Astyanax mexicanus: one gene and its partner. The protein of the gene in region 2 interacts with the protein of the main gene of each other region in a biochemical or structural test. Links are inferred from orthologs where the notes say so. Each region holds a gene or a part of one and is shown on either strand. Other genes may lie near its edges.

Region 1 (7,722 bases), on a different chromosome or scaffold from region 2:
AAAAATGCCTCTCTGTCCAGATATTGTGTACATTACCGTACACAGGGCAGCGGTCTGCACAGATCGGATTGGCAGAGGAGAGCGTTTGGTGATTTTACACCACACATGACTGATCTGTGAGTTTACTGCACCGAAAAGCACTGAAAACAGAAGCCACTGTCAGAATGAAATCCTTCTCTGTAGTTTATCGGTTTGGGACGGCATTTGTGACAACGTCTGGGTCCGGATCCGGATCGCGGTCCGCCTATTAGTGACCTCTGTTTTAAAGCTATCAAGATGAGTAAGTTAAGTACTAAGTTAACGCTCTGTTTACGCTAATTTTAGCAGCTAAATAGCAATTTAGCTTCTTCGTCATTTAATCAGCCACAACATGCCTCCTTTTCAGGTGCTCGTGCATCGCGGTTGTGCTGCCGAGGAAGGCAAGTTCTTCATTGCAGATATTGCATTGCACGCGTTTCACTTTTATTTTCTTGGTGATCCCACACTTTTGAGTTCTGTAGCGGGGTAGCCATGAAACCAGAGCCTGTCTGTATAATGTCCTGAGATGTCGTCCACTACCTACCCCGGTTTCCACTACTGCGCATGTGCGTCCAGGACAGAAAGGCAGTCGCAGCAGTTTGGAGAGAAAAACAAAGAAAAAAAAACAAACGACTAATCGACTATTAAATTAGTCGTCGACTATTTTAATAGTCGACATAATCGTGACTAGTCGACTAATCGTGGCAGCCCTACTCTTGAGTATCATTAGGTCCTGCTGATGCTGTTCTTGAGCTAGTACCAATAACTACAAAACTCGAAGCTACAGTAATAGACTAATGGCCAGTGGAAGAAGTGCCTGTGTTTATGCACATGCTGCGTTTTTCCCACAGTTCATACACAGAGCTTTAAGTGTGTTGTCAATATTGGTGAAGATTTATCTTAACTTCTCAAAAAGTACTTAATTATAATCTAGTGTAGTATACGGGTACTTTATTCTAAATAACTGTTTCTCTGATTTGAACATTTTTACCATTTGTACCGGTATGCAAACTGAACCATATAGAGAGGCGCTGTCTGTGAAATTTCAGTAAGGTTTTAAAAGTACTGTACAGTTTAACTAATTTGATTTGTGGGGTGGTTCTAATCGATTGTCTGTTCTTATGTAGGTGTCCTCATCTGCGGGTAGAATAACAGTACCACGGCTCAGTGTGGGGGCAGTTTCCAGTAGACCAAGCACACCAACACTCGGTGAGTTCTTCTGAGTATTCTCATAATAGTATAGTGCACTGCAGTGTACCGCCTAAGGCAGACTTTCCCTATAACTAATATAGTTTTTAAAGTATTCTTTGTTTTTAAATGCTTCCTCTTGTTTTTATTGTGTAATATAATGCAGTACAGTAATAATAATGAAGTATAATAATTATTGTTGTTTTATCATAATACTTTTATACAAGTCTGTGAGCACATGGCTACATTTTGGTGACTGTAAACCCACTTGCATGTGAACGTGTGCACTAGGGGGCAGTGTCCAAATCGGAATGTACAGAAAATGAGCAAGACTAAGGTCATGTTTTGTTGTAGTGAAATTGAGAAAATTGTATGACAATTGAGAAAAACCCCTTAGTAAAATTCCTGTCTGATCAGGAAATTAAATAATGCTGCTTCTTTAACCTTTATTCCTCAGCTGGTCCCAATAATTGTTAAAGAACTGACCACTCACGGAAGAGCTGGATATACAGCTCTAAAAAAACAGAAGACCACTTAAAAATAAGTTATCCAAAAGCAGTGTGCAAGACTGGTGGTCGGTACCATACCAAGATGCATAAAACTTATTAAAAACCAGGGTTATTCCACCAAATATGGATTTCTGAACTCTCAAAACTTTATGAATATGAACTTGTTTTCTAGGCATGTTCTGAGGTCTGAAATCTCTGCATCTTTTTTGTTATTTCAGCAATTTCTATTTTTTTTGCAAATAAATGCTCTAAATGACAATATTTCTATCTGGAATTAAATTATTTTTCTAGAACTGTACATTTAAATAGAACAATAATGCAAGGTAATATATGGAAAAGAATATTTGTGATTCTCTGTTTTACTCTTTTGTCCTTTTTTGTTTTGGCATAAATTTTAGTAATAAACACAGTTCCCAGAACTTGGGAATTAAGGGATTTGTTTCATGAGCTGAATCCTGAGCATCATTGTGCTTTTTTTTGCTGGTTTTCAGGTACCCCCTCAGTGCAGACAATGGGCAGTAAAGTGGGAACCCCTGTGTCACTGACAGGCCAGCGCTTCACTGTTCAGATCCCCTCCTCACAGGCTGCTTCTGTCAAGACAGGTCAGTGCAATGTTAATAACTGCTGGGTGAAATTTCTTCATCATAGTGTTGGATGATTAATTTTTGTTTTTTGTTTGTGTTGTGGGTAAAAGAAGGGGATATTGGTACTCAATTTCATTAGTTTAGTTTACCTCCTATTAGTAATAACTGTTGTCACACTGGTTATATTTACAGCCACCCCGACTACTCCAGGCACAGTCCAGAATGTCCTCATCAACCCCTCCCTCATCGGCTCCAAGAACATCCTCATTACGACCAACATGGTGTCTCAGAACTCCTCCGGCGAATCGGGCTCTCTGAAAAGAAAGCATGAAGATGACGACGACTATGATGCTTTATGACCCTGTGCATAAGTTGTATCAGTAGTCTTAGATGCTCCTTGCTTGATACGCGTGTAAATATATAATGATAATTTTGCTTTCGATCAGCTCCATCATGTTGTTTTTGATTATACCAGTAACCTTATGACCTTGACCATTGATTGCTGACTTTTTCTACGTAAAAATAAAATGTAGTTGCTAAACCCATTTCTTCTTTCTCTTTGTTTTTGCTTAAATGTCACGATTGTATTAAATGAAATAGCTGTACAACAGGGGGGATATTTAAATCATTTTCTGTTTTAAGAGGTGAATTTTCATGCATTCATTACATTCTCTGTTTTTATGTTTTCTGTTATTCTTGCTTGGTAATGAATGAGTGATCAGCTTTCTGTCAGTGTGGAGTTCATTTAAATTAAAGTGTGTTGTAATCAAAACTAAGCTAAGAACAAACATGGAGGGTTAACCATGTAGCTAAAGCTCAAGCAGAACATCAGGATATCAGGAATTCCCTCACATAAATTATAGCATTAAGTGAGCCAATCATGCTATAGATTTAGTTTCCATTATTTAAAGCCTTAAGTAAAAGAGAACATCTCTAATAAAGGCCTAAACACATGGCTGTCTAGCAGTTAAACAGTTTAAAAATTTGTAATAATACCAGGCTTTTCTTATAAATATATTGATTTTGAATATCCTGTCATGCTGATATTCCTATAAAATATATAACCTGTGATTTCCTTGATTTTAATCAATATTTAACAAAATAGTTGGTTTAAAGGCAAACTTTTTTTGGTGTTTAACTAAAAAGTGTGCAGAACAACTCCTAAACAGAGTTATGTCTGTGTAAAATCCTGTAATATTTTCTGATTCTGTAACTCTAAGCTAGTAAGAAATGCATGGGGAAAGAGTCATATAGGCTCAAAGCACTGTACACGCAATAATTTGTTCTGTTTATGCCATGGTAATAGCATTTAGCTGTGTTGTCATTGGCCATTAGCAAAAAAAACCCAGAATGCTAGGTTACTAAATCTTCAGTTCAGACATGACTGACTATTTTCCTGCTTCAGAATCATGTCCATACTGTCTTTATATACGATGAAAACAACAGCACACCTATTTTACATATATCTGCCTGTTCAGTTTATTACCATTCATTTAGCATTACAAACAGTGTTTCTCTCTGGGCTTCTTTTTGAATGTGGCATTATAGAGGGAAGTCAGTCAGCAGAGGTCATTTACATATATAAGTTAATGATAGCCTGATAAATTAAGAAATCCTATCTGCATCACATTTAATCCACTGATATTTTTTTTAATTTAATCTTAAAGTAGTTTTGAAACCAGTATTTGTACTTAGGTATAAAGCTTCAGTTGATACTTCAGCTTCTACAGAAATATTGTAAACCCTAATCAGGCCCATTGCAACAAGGCAAGCAAACCAATCCTTTGCCTTGAGGCCTGAGCTGGCCTGGGGCTCCAGACAACAACTGTTTGTTAGCTACCTGCCTGGGCGTCCATGCTAGTAACGAACTGGAACAGGGGTCCATTTTGCTTGGAGCCCCCAAATTCCTTACCTATATTATCTATAAGCCTACTATCTGTACCACTAATTTACCTGAGTAATGAATGCCAGTACTTTTAATACTTTTGTTTATATGATCACTCCAAAGGTAAATCTGATAAAGGGATCCGAACTGAACTTCTCTCATTTTATGATCACATTTATTTTACAGCATGAAGCTTCGATGAGGGCAGGCAGTAATTATAACTAGGTTAAATTTGTTTGTGAAAATATGCATTCTTTTTTTTTCTCTGATACGGCATGCGATCAATAATACCAATAATACCGACCGATACACTGGGTGAAACCGATCCGAGATCAGTGGAGAGAGAGAGCGAGCGGCTGTTTGTCACGCTGATCCGCTCCGCTCACTTTCACTCTCTCCGTCACTACAAGCCGCTGCGTGTAAACACACACAGCCGTTACACAAGAGCCTCCATCCGCCTCGCTATTGGCTTAGGCGGCTGTCAATCACAGCGCTGTCAGCCAATGACCTCGCTCCTTTTTCTCAAACAGTGGCGGCCATGTTGTATCCGCGGGTGTGTGTGAGTATGAGTGTGTATGAGTGTGTGACTGAGTGTGTGTGTATGAGTGTGTGTGTGTGTTTGGGTCTGGGAGAAGAGGAGCGTGTGTTGTACTACGAGCTGCCGCCGCCGCTGCCGGTGTGTGTGTGTGTGAGCACCGCTCTCATACCAGCCGAGTCGTGGGTTAAAACTGTCGGTTAACCTTAGTTTGCCCGCTTCGCCATGAGCCGTCCGTCCTCAGCGGGAGGAGCGGGCGGAGGACTGGGAGCCGGTAAGGCGGGAGGAGGGAGTAAACACGGCGGCTCCGGAGCAGCAGGAGGAGGAGGAGCGGCGGCAGCTGCCGCTGCTGCAGCCGCTGCGGCCGCGGCAGCAGCAGCAGCGGCGGCGGCTGCTGCGGGGGTTTCGGGCTCCGTCTCTGGGTCCGGTTCTGTGACTGCTGCGACCGCTGTAACGTTACCTACTGCGGCTGCTGCTGCTGCCGCCGCTGCTGCTGCTGCTCTACCCGGACAGTCGGCCGAGCTGACGGCGCTGTTCGAGTGCCCAGTGTGCTTCGACTACGTGCTGCCGCCGATCCTGCAGTGCCAGGCCGGCCACCTGGTCTGCAACCAATGTCGACAGAAGCTGAGCTGCTGCCCGACCTGCCGCGGGCCTCTCACACCCAGCATACGGAACCTGGCGATGGAGAAAGTCGCCTCCACGCTGCCCTTCCCCTGCAAGGTAAGAGAGAGAGGAGCTCCTGACAGCCCGTTAGAGAGCTTTACCAAGCCTGAGAAACTTCAGCACAGTTTCAGACTGACACGCAGTGCTGTGACACTACTGTACTTTTCACACCACTTTTTGTATAACGTTACTTTATTTCCTATCTATCTACCTCACCAGCTACCTCACTTTTTTGGCTTGGTTTGACAGCGCCCTCACGACTCACAGGAGGAGTGAGTGTTTGAGGAAGTGAGTCTCCATTAGCTCAAGTTTACAACGCTACAGGTGTTTAGAAACGGGAAAGCCTCGGTTCTGCACCCTCTCCTGCTGTTTTAAGGGATGTAAAGGCTCATTTCATGGAAATAAATAAGAACAGAAGTCTCCAAACATTGTTTAGCTATAACAAAATGTCATAATGTACCATTATCCCCCCTCTTCCCAATAAACCTGGACATGCAGCAGCAGAGCAGCCTGTTTATAAATGTGACAAGTTTAAAACGGCAATTTGATTATTTCTTCATCATATCTTTTATGTCGTTGAAGTGAAAGCTTGTTTATTTCCATAATAAATGCTGACACATTTGTAAGGAACATTCATTTGTGGGATGAGCAACAGAGCTGAGTATGTAGCTTGTGCCCATGAAATATCTGCCAAATCTTCTCTGTCATTGCCAAACAGCTTATTTTTACTGTTGCTATTGACTCTTGTTTTGAGCTTCTGATACCACAGGTTTTGATGAACAACTTCAGCATAGTTACAGACACACAGCGCTGACACTACTTTACTAACCACTTTAATTGTGGACCCAAAGCAGCATAGCAGCCTGTTTTGAAATGCGCAACAAGTAAGAACATTTGTGTCTGGTAGATTATTTCTTTGTAGTAACAATGATTCTTTGCAATAAATCGTATATTGTTAAAAAGCCTGTTAATTACCCTATTAAATGTTGCCACATTTGGAAGGAAAATCTTCTCTGTCAGTGCCAAACATCTTATTTTGCTGTGGCTATTGACAATAGTTTTGAGCTTCTGGTACCCCCAGGTGCTTCCAATCAAGCATGGGCCCTGCTACAGTGGTTAATTGGTGTCTGCTCCAAGAAACAGCATGCCTTGTTTGACTGATCTGTATAGGGCTCATGCGATAGAACAACTTCATGCTGGTGTTCCTCAAAACCAAGTTGTGACATTATTTGAAGTGAGCCATAGTACCAGTTCTCTGACACCATGTGGGTGTCAGAGAAAGGCCTCAAAGGGGCTTTCCAAGAAGACAACACCCCAAGAAGACGAGTCAATGACAGAATAAGCTGATTGGCATTGGCAGAGAGGATATGGCAAAGTTCTCATGGGTGCAAGCCATATTCAACATACTCAGCTCTGCTACTTATTCCACAATTGCATTTTCCTTAAAAATGTGGCACAAATTAAAAGTAAAATTATCAGTCTTTCCAGCGGTATAAGATTTTTTGCCAAGAAGCATTGTTACAACTTAGAAATAATCTACTAACCACAAATGTCCTTACGTTTTGTGCTATTTCTAGTACATGGCAATTATATTCAAATCTGTCAGAAATTGGACTAATACTCTGCATAAAATTGTAAGCATTGCTCAACATCCCCAAGTAAAACTAATCCCATCTGATTAGAGCTTTTGGCTGACTTGTTAAATTGTAGTATTTCTTTTACCAGCAAGTGTTCTTGAAGCATATTGCTAGATGTATGCTGCATTATGTTCACCTACTTGGAAATATCCTGCAAAATGTACCAAGGGTCCTAAGATTTAAGCTGTCACAGTTTGGTAAAACATACATCGGAACAGGAACCTTGCCGACCGGAAGCAGACATGAAGGGAGGGCATGACTAAAGTAAATGTTGACTAATCAACTAGTAAAAATAATTAATAGACAGATTAGTTGCATCCCTAATAGTGTTATAAACTTGGCTGCCTTTTAAAATGAGGAAAGCCTATGAACAGAGGTAATAGACACATCTCTTACAGTTGTTTCTGATACATAAACACAACATCATAAGTGAATTTCATGGCTGAAACTAAATAAAATCCAAGAATCACATCAGATAATGGCACCTTAAACAGATGATAACATTAGAACTTACTCAGCATGTTGTAAGATGACCTTAGGAAGAAAATGAGCCAACACTCATTACCCGTTGTCCTTACAAACTTACCATCAACGTTTAAGCCAATTAAAGCCTTTGGTTACAGATTCAGGATCAGTACGTCAGCGCGCTCTTTCAAAGCTAATTGTTACAAAGCATATATTATGTACATTGAGGTTGACTGAG
Region 2 (7,118 bases):
TGTAGTTATTGTAGGTGTTGCAGTTTTTGCTGGTGCATCCGATGCGATATCATCTGCAATTTCCTCACACAGAGCTAAGAGGTTGAGCTGCTTGGGGGGCTGCCTCTTAGCAGCAGCTGCTCTCTCCTCAGCCAGAGCTGCTAATCGGGCCTTGGTTCTGGCCTGAGGATTCATCGCTTGCTTCTTTGGAGGTTCAGCGCTGGCCTGTGCAACAGAACCCGGTGTGGAGGAGTCCTTAGCGCCATCCTGTGGCAGAGATGGAGTCGAGGTGCTCTCTTTGCACACGACAGCTTTGCTGGTTTCTTTTAGAGCTAATGCCTCCTGCAAATCCTGCAACTGCTGCAAGTCCTGCGAAGGCAGCGCATTGCAATTCTCTGATGAGGCACCAAGGTTCCCGCCAACTACTTCCTCCACAGTTTCAATCTCAACCACGCAGTGTTCAATCTCAATATCGTCCAGATTCAGAAAGGTTTCTGAGGTCAGAGATCCTTCGGAAGCAGCAGACAGTTCTGTATCTTGGGCAGTATCCTGTACAGTAGTATCCTGTACAGTAGTATCCTGTACAGTAGTATCCTGTACAGTAGTATCCTGTACAGAAGCATCCTGTACAGAACACGTATTAACCACCTCGACCTCGTCGGACACATCTTTACCATTGAAGCTGGTCTCCTGAATAACTTTAAAAAGGGCTTGCAGAGGTGGCGGGGACTTTCTCATCACACTCACCTTAGCATCTAAAGTTACAGTGATTTTCTCGATAGGATCAGGCGGGAGTTCTTTATGCTCATTAAGCGGTATCTTGCTCAGCGTTTTAGCACCAGAGGCTCGGAGAGGGTCTTGGTCTGTGACGTCGATGATGTCCACCACGCTGTTTTTCTCCGGCATCGTCGTCTCTTCGCTTTGTATATCAGGAGGTCTACCGTAGTTGTGCTCCGTTCGCACAGGATCCACAGCTGCCGACACCGTGCTAACGGTTTCAGACGAGGGAGATGAGCATTTACCTTTCTTTGCTCTTCCAGCGTACTTCCTACTTCCTTTTTTCAGAACAGGCTCACTCTGACACACTTTCTCTCCAGGTATCTCTGAAGCTTTACTCCCACCTTTAGAGCCCAGCTCTTTTGGTGCAGCAGATGCATTCGATGCCTTCCGCTTTTTCCTACCAGTCAGTTTTTTAGGGGCTATCTTCAGCCTGGAGGAGCGACGCGGCTGCTTTTCCTTCTCGTCCTTCAGATGAGCTTTAGACGTCTTGCTGGACTGAGCTGAACCTTTCCTCTGCGAGACTCCAGCCCTCAAGGACCTCTTGGTCGTCGTCTGAGATGTTTGACCGTGTTTATCGGACGCTGCCGGACTCTGATCCACCTTTTTCTTCTTCACTTGAGGTTCAGCTTGAGCTGGCATCTTTCTTTTGGGACCGAGCATACTAAAGAAAAAAGAACACATAAATGGATAAATAATAAATACGAAGTAAACGCTGGTACAAGCAAGTATGTATAAGCATTCATAAAAATGTTAAAGCCTAGACACTGTCTACATGTTTATATAGAGAGCGGGTTTAAAAGGCTTGTGATGAAAGACATAAATAAGTGGAATACAAGTTAAGGTGTTTAAGTACATACAATTAAAAAACATAGCTTTCAACACAGTTTGTAAAGCCTAAAAATAATACAGTCATGTGCCCACAGCTAGAAAAAAACACGAATAAGCTGCTCACTCATTTTATCTGATTTAATTATGAATTTGGTATCAATGTTCCAAAGCAGAACATTTACTAGGAAGAATTACAGTGTAGATATGGGCATCAATTTCAGAGATAAATTTCTACTAGTAAGTATATATCTGTAACTGAAGTATTACTACTAAAAATGTAATTATAGTAAAGAGAAAGGTAAACTAACATAGGTAAGAACTGCATTACAGAGCAGTTAGGTAATCTAGATACTGTTTGAATGGTTGGAGTGATTTAATCTAATTTAATTAGATTAAATAATAGATTAAAGAAGAAACATAGGAAGAATTACAGTGTAGATATATCTGAATCTGCAATTTCTACTAGTAACAGAATAAATGTAGATATATTTAACTGGAGTTTTTACTAGTAAAATGTAATTATAGTTAAGAGAAAGGTAACCTAACGTAGGACTAGTCAGAATTACATCAATGATATGTGATCCTGGTGATTTTATGACTATTTTAAATTTGGGTGAAATGTTGTCCGTCGTTTATACAATGAAAAACTATGTTTATTTCATTCAAATATATACCTATACGTAGTTAAATCAGAGAAACTGATTATTTTGATGTGGTCTAATAATTGTTTTCCAGAGCTGTATATACAGGTGATACAGCTGATAACTGAAATTAAAGTCTCTGCTGGTAAGATCTGCATAACAAAGCTCTGTACTTTGTGTTTTACTGCTAAACTCTTGGGGTGATTTTAGTCTAAATCGGCTAATTTTAGGTATAATATACTGTTTATAAAGGTAAATAGAGGCTTACTTCAGTTGGGAAAGCTGTATTTCCTTTCCTTTATAAAGTGTTTTCCTCCAGTCGGTCTCCTGCCCGAATCAGATGCGGTATTTTCGGTGTTTTTGTTTTTTTTTGGCTGTTTTTTGGGGTGTTTTTGGGTCTGAGGCGGCGGAATGTCGAGGCAGTGAAAATGTAGTTAGCTTAGCTAAGCGGCTAACCCACAAAAACCTCCTGAAACGCGGCTTTTCAGCCCGAACTGCTGCTTATAAATCATACCGGCGGATCTGTATCCCCTCTACACCAGAGTACAGCCCCGCGGAGCGGCGCAGGCGGGCTAAATCTGCGGTAAAGTGCGGTAAAGCTTCTGTAAAACAGCTGTTCTGCGCTGCGATAAGTTTACCTTCTCTTCCGGCGCCCCAGTTTTCTTCGACATCTGTGGCGAGTCAGACTCACCGATACCGCCCCCCAGCGGTGAGAGCGCTCACTGCAGCAGCGGCTCCCCTCCTTCAGCCTCAGTACTTTTCCACTGTTTATTATGTTATAGTATGTTATAGGAAAAATTAAGAGACCACTTCAGTTTCTTACGGATCCTCTGAAATGACATGGTGTTTTTTTACGTTAAAAATGGTAAGCACCCGATACTAAGTGGTGAGCACCACATACTAAGTGGTGAGCACCAGATACTAAAGCCCAATATATACTTTTGAGTCGAACCTACGATGTAGCCTACATATCCCGCAAAACTGTGCTATGTAGCAGAGCGCGTTTATACTTCTGCGTGCGCGTGCAGTTAGAACCGGCGGACCAATCACAGCGACCGTACGTGTAGCACCGCGCATAATTACATTTACAGAGAGTTGCACTCAAGCCATGGCGTGGGGTATGTGGCGACGCAAAGGCTCTGGCAGAGGTTTGACGCAGAAGTAGAAATTGGCCTTAAGTGGTGAGCACAACATACTAAGTAGTGAGCACCAGACACTAAGTGATAAGCACCACATACTAAGTGGTGAGCACCACATACTAAGTAAAACAAAAAATAAATACTAAATATACACATACTAAAAAAAGTTACACCTTGTCCCTTCAGGCCAGGGGCTCCGTAGATTTCTGAATCAGTTTCTCTGATTTTGCAATTTATAGGTTTATGTTTGAGTAAAACAAACATTGTTGTTTTATTCTATAAACTACAGACAACATTTCTCCCAAATAAATAAACATATTCTAGTCATTTAGAGCATTTATTTGCAGAAAATGAGAAATGGCTGAAATAACAAAAAAAATGCAGAGCTTTCAGACCTCAAATAATGCAAAGAAAACAAGTTCATATTCGTAAAGTTTTAAGGCATCATGTTCTCCTCCTCCACCAGTCTTACACACTGCTTTTGGATAACTTTATGCTGCTTTACTCCTGGTGCGAAAATTCAAGCAGTTCAGTTTGGTGGTTTGATGGTTTGTGATCATCCATCTTCCTCTTGATTGTATTCCAGAGGTTTTTAATTTGGTAAAATCAAAGAAACTCATCATTTTTAAGTGCTCTCTTATTTTTTTTTTTCAGAGCTGTATATAAATGTTTTTGTGGGTTTAGTTTATTTTATTGTTCTGATGTTTTTGTACTGGTTTGCCTGCAGGGTGAAGTGTTTCCGTCCGGCCGCTGGGGGCGCTGTTCTGCTGCCGGGTCAGACGGGCTTCAGGTCTGGCGGGCTGTTCGTTTGTGTGTTTGGGAACAGCTGGGTAAGAATTTAACGTTTTCCTGCTGTTTTTAGGATTTATGTGTAAAATTATGTGTGTTTTAGACTCAAGCAGATATAGGTAAGACTCTGTTACGCGTGTTATTTAGGTTAGCCCGCAGGTTCTGTTTAAAAACGTGCGTAAAGTCTGTCTTTTTGTTTGTTTGGGTTGTTGGTTTTAATGCAGTTTCGGATTTATGAATCGTTTTTACGAGATAAACACACACAAACACGTAACTACGTTAGTATTTATTAGTGGAAAACACATAGGGTTTTTAGTGAGCTTCGACTTTCCGAGTTATAGCTAAAATAACTGTGTTTTTAAACTGTCTGTAGCTGTAGTTTTAGACTTTATACAGATAGCTAAGCTAAATAGCTAAGCTTATGTTTGTAAACCTAGTTAAGCTAACTAGCTAAATAACTAGCTCGTTACAGTGGAATTAAAAACAGTTTCCCTTATAAATCATTGGTTGTTTTCAGTTCAGCAATTGTGTTTAAATATATAATATAGCAGAGAAACGCAGTGATATTTGAGAAGTAAAATTAAGTTTATAGGATTTACAGAAAGTCTGCAATTATTATTTAATCTAATCAGACAGGTGAATAAATTTGGGCACCAACAGAAGAAATACATTAATATTTAGTAGATCTTGCTTTTGCAGAAATAAAATAACAGCCTCTAAATGCTTCATAAAGCTTCCAATGAGAGTCTTGTTGAAGCGTCTGGTTGAAGGTATTTTGGACCATTCTTCTTTACAGAGCATTTCTAGTTTAGTCAGGATTTTATTTGCAGGATTTCATCAAAAGAACATGTGTGGAGGTGGTTTGTTGTCAAGGTGGCCGCATATAGGATATGATTAAAAAAAGATGTATTTGGAGCATATTATGTATATTGATTTTTTTTGTTGCATTTTTTTGTATTTACTTTCTATGTTAATGTTGTTTTCAACCAAAATCACCTAATGTAAAGCTCCAAGTTAAAATAAGTATGAACTTAAAACTATAAAATTTAACAGAAACATTATTAATATTCATATCTCACGTTCAGATTTTTTCACACCGGTTAATTTAACTGCTATTTCTGTCTCAACAGAGAGTGTGCATGTTGGCTGTTCGGCATGTGATGAGGTAGCTTGGTGGACTAAACGACAATGACCAGTCCTCAGTTCAGTGGCACCTCTGGCAATAATGAAGAGCTCTTTCAGGATCTACTGAGCCGCCTCAGGGAGTGCCATGATACTGTAGTACAAGGTACTGTCTCTGGAGAGCTTGCACAACAATTTACATTTTAATAGCGTTAATACTACAGTAATGCTGGGCAGCAGTGATTATGTTCCTATATTAAACAATAAATGTAAAAACAAATTTCTCAGCAGAAACTGTTCATTTGATTGTTTGTATACAGTTGGTTAAAAGCTAAATGTGTTTTAATTGGTTAATTTGTTTGAACCTAGTAAGTGAGTCAGTGGTAGTACTATACTAAAACTAGCAGCTGCCACTAAAAGCTGAACTTTGCAGCAAATTGTCATGCACCGCAGAGTGCACACAGATTCATGCAATCTGGTCAGTTTGAGGTGTCTGTGAGCTGGTGTATCACTGCGCTACTCGACAATGCTAAATAAATACATATATTTTCCAAATGTAGACATAAAAGCATCTCAGGGTTTTACTAACACACAGCCTGTCAGTGTTACATATGTAAAAAAAATAGCAGTATCTGACACTTCTGGATTTTAAGAGACTCCAAATGTTTTTTTGTAGGTCTGCAGTCAAAGGTGACCAAGCTGAAGAAGGAGCGTTGTCTGTAAGTAGAGTTTTTGGCCCTTTCTTGTTTACTGTGTTTTAAGCTGTTTTAACCCTTTCAGACCTGTTTTAACTACAGTGATGTTTTTTTACTATAAAATCTATATAGCAAATTAATCTATACAGCGAATTAACAAAATTATTTAATAATTGATTTTTATTTTCATTACATTGGAAGTTTGTGTGTATTTTTTTTTTATTTCACATTGACCTTTTTACTTCATAAACCATTCTTAAACAGTAAAATTAAAATTAAACATTAAAAATGTTCTAAATTACATTAGTAAAAATTAGCTCTTACTTTGCCTCAATGGCTTTAGTGCTACTGTTCTTTTTTCAGTACAGAGGGCAGACAGTGTTCAAACTGTGTTAATAGTCTTATGTGTAAAAATAAAGAAAATACAAGATGTCCATTGTAATGAATGCAGGGTCTGAAAGGGTTAAAGCAGTACCTGCAGTGTTCTGTCAGTGATATTTGTGCTGCTTGTTTTCTTTATAAGCGACGCACAAAAACTGGAGGAATTCTACAATAAAAATCAGCAGCTACGAGAGCAGCAGAAAGCCCTGCAGGAATCTATCAGACTCCTCAAAGAGAGGTATTTCTCTTTACTTCTCTAGGATTGAATATTCCCAGATGTAAACTTCATTTATCATGTATTATACTTTATGCATGTAACTTAATTACAGAAAAAGCCTTAAATCAAAATGATTATGCAAATTAGTTCACATGGATTTGTCTAATAATAATAATCTATGAATAAACTATTGTAAAATTTTCATGTCCTGAAGTGTAAAATTAAAACTTCATAAACAACTATTCAGATACTGATTTGAATTATGCTGCACAGTGTCAATTTTATATATTATTTAGTATTTAAAGAGTGCCTGGAAGTGTCTTATTTTATTTATATATTAAAGCATTTATATATTTCGCTTTAATAATATGTAGTGATTAAATAAAGTCTATATATCGTCCTCACCTGATCCGCTATAAATTCATGATTAGAATTTAATAGAATGCAAACTGACCAAAATGCATTTATTTCTTTATTTTTTTTACAGTGAGTAATAAAAAGTAATAAAAATAATAATTCATATTTAATTATGGGAAGATGGACAACA

What was found.
Region 1: the proteins of rbbp8 (region 2) and siah2l form a complex in vitro, tested with the Homo sapiens proteins (2 studies listed by BioGRID). The link is inferred for Astyanax mexicanus from reciprocal best matches to the Homo sapiens genes RBBP8 and SIAH2.

Annotation. Positions count from the first base shown.
Region 1 is NC_064424.1:17,165,565-17,173,286, reverse strand, and holds the start of siah2l (E3 ubiquitin-protein ligase Siah2), read left to right. Parts: upstream 1-4,713; 5' UTR 4,714-4,944; coding exon 4,945-5,439; intron 5,440-7,722. Other genes in the region: taf9 (transcription initiation factor TFIID subunit 9), read left to right, coding at 1,146-1,227, 2,207-2,317, 2,492-2,658. UniProt on the Homo sapiens protein: E3 ubiquitin-protein ligase that mediates ubiquitination and subsequent proteasomal degradation of target proteins.
Region 2 is NC_064413.1:973,927-981,044, forward strand, and holds the start of rbbp8 (DNA endonuclease RBBP8), read left to right. Parts: upstream 1-4,108; 5' UTR 4,109-4,197; intron 4,198-5,286; 5' UTR 5,287-5,344; coding exon 5,345-5,444; intron 5,445-5,954; coding exon 5,955-5,997; intron 5,998-6,496; coding exon 6,497-6,592; intron 6,593-7,118. Other genes in the region: N-acetyltransferase ESCO1, read right to left, coding at 1-1,419. UniProt on the Homo sapiens protein: Endonuclease that cooperates with the MRE11-RAD50-NBN (MRN) complex in DNA-end resection, the first step of double-strand break (DSB) repair through the homologous recombination (HR) pathway.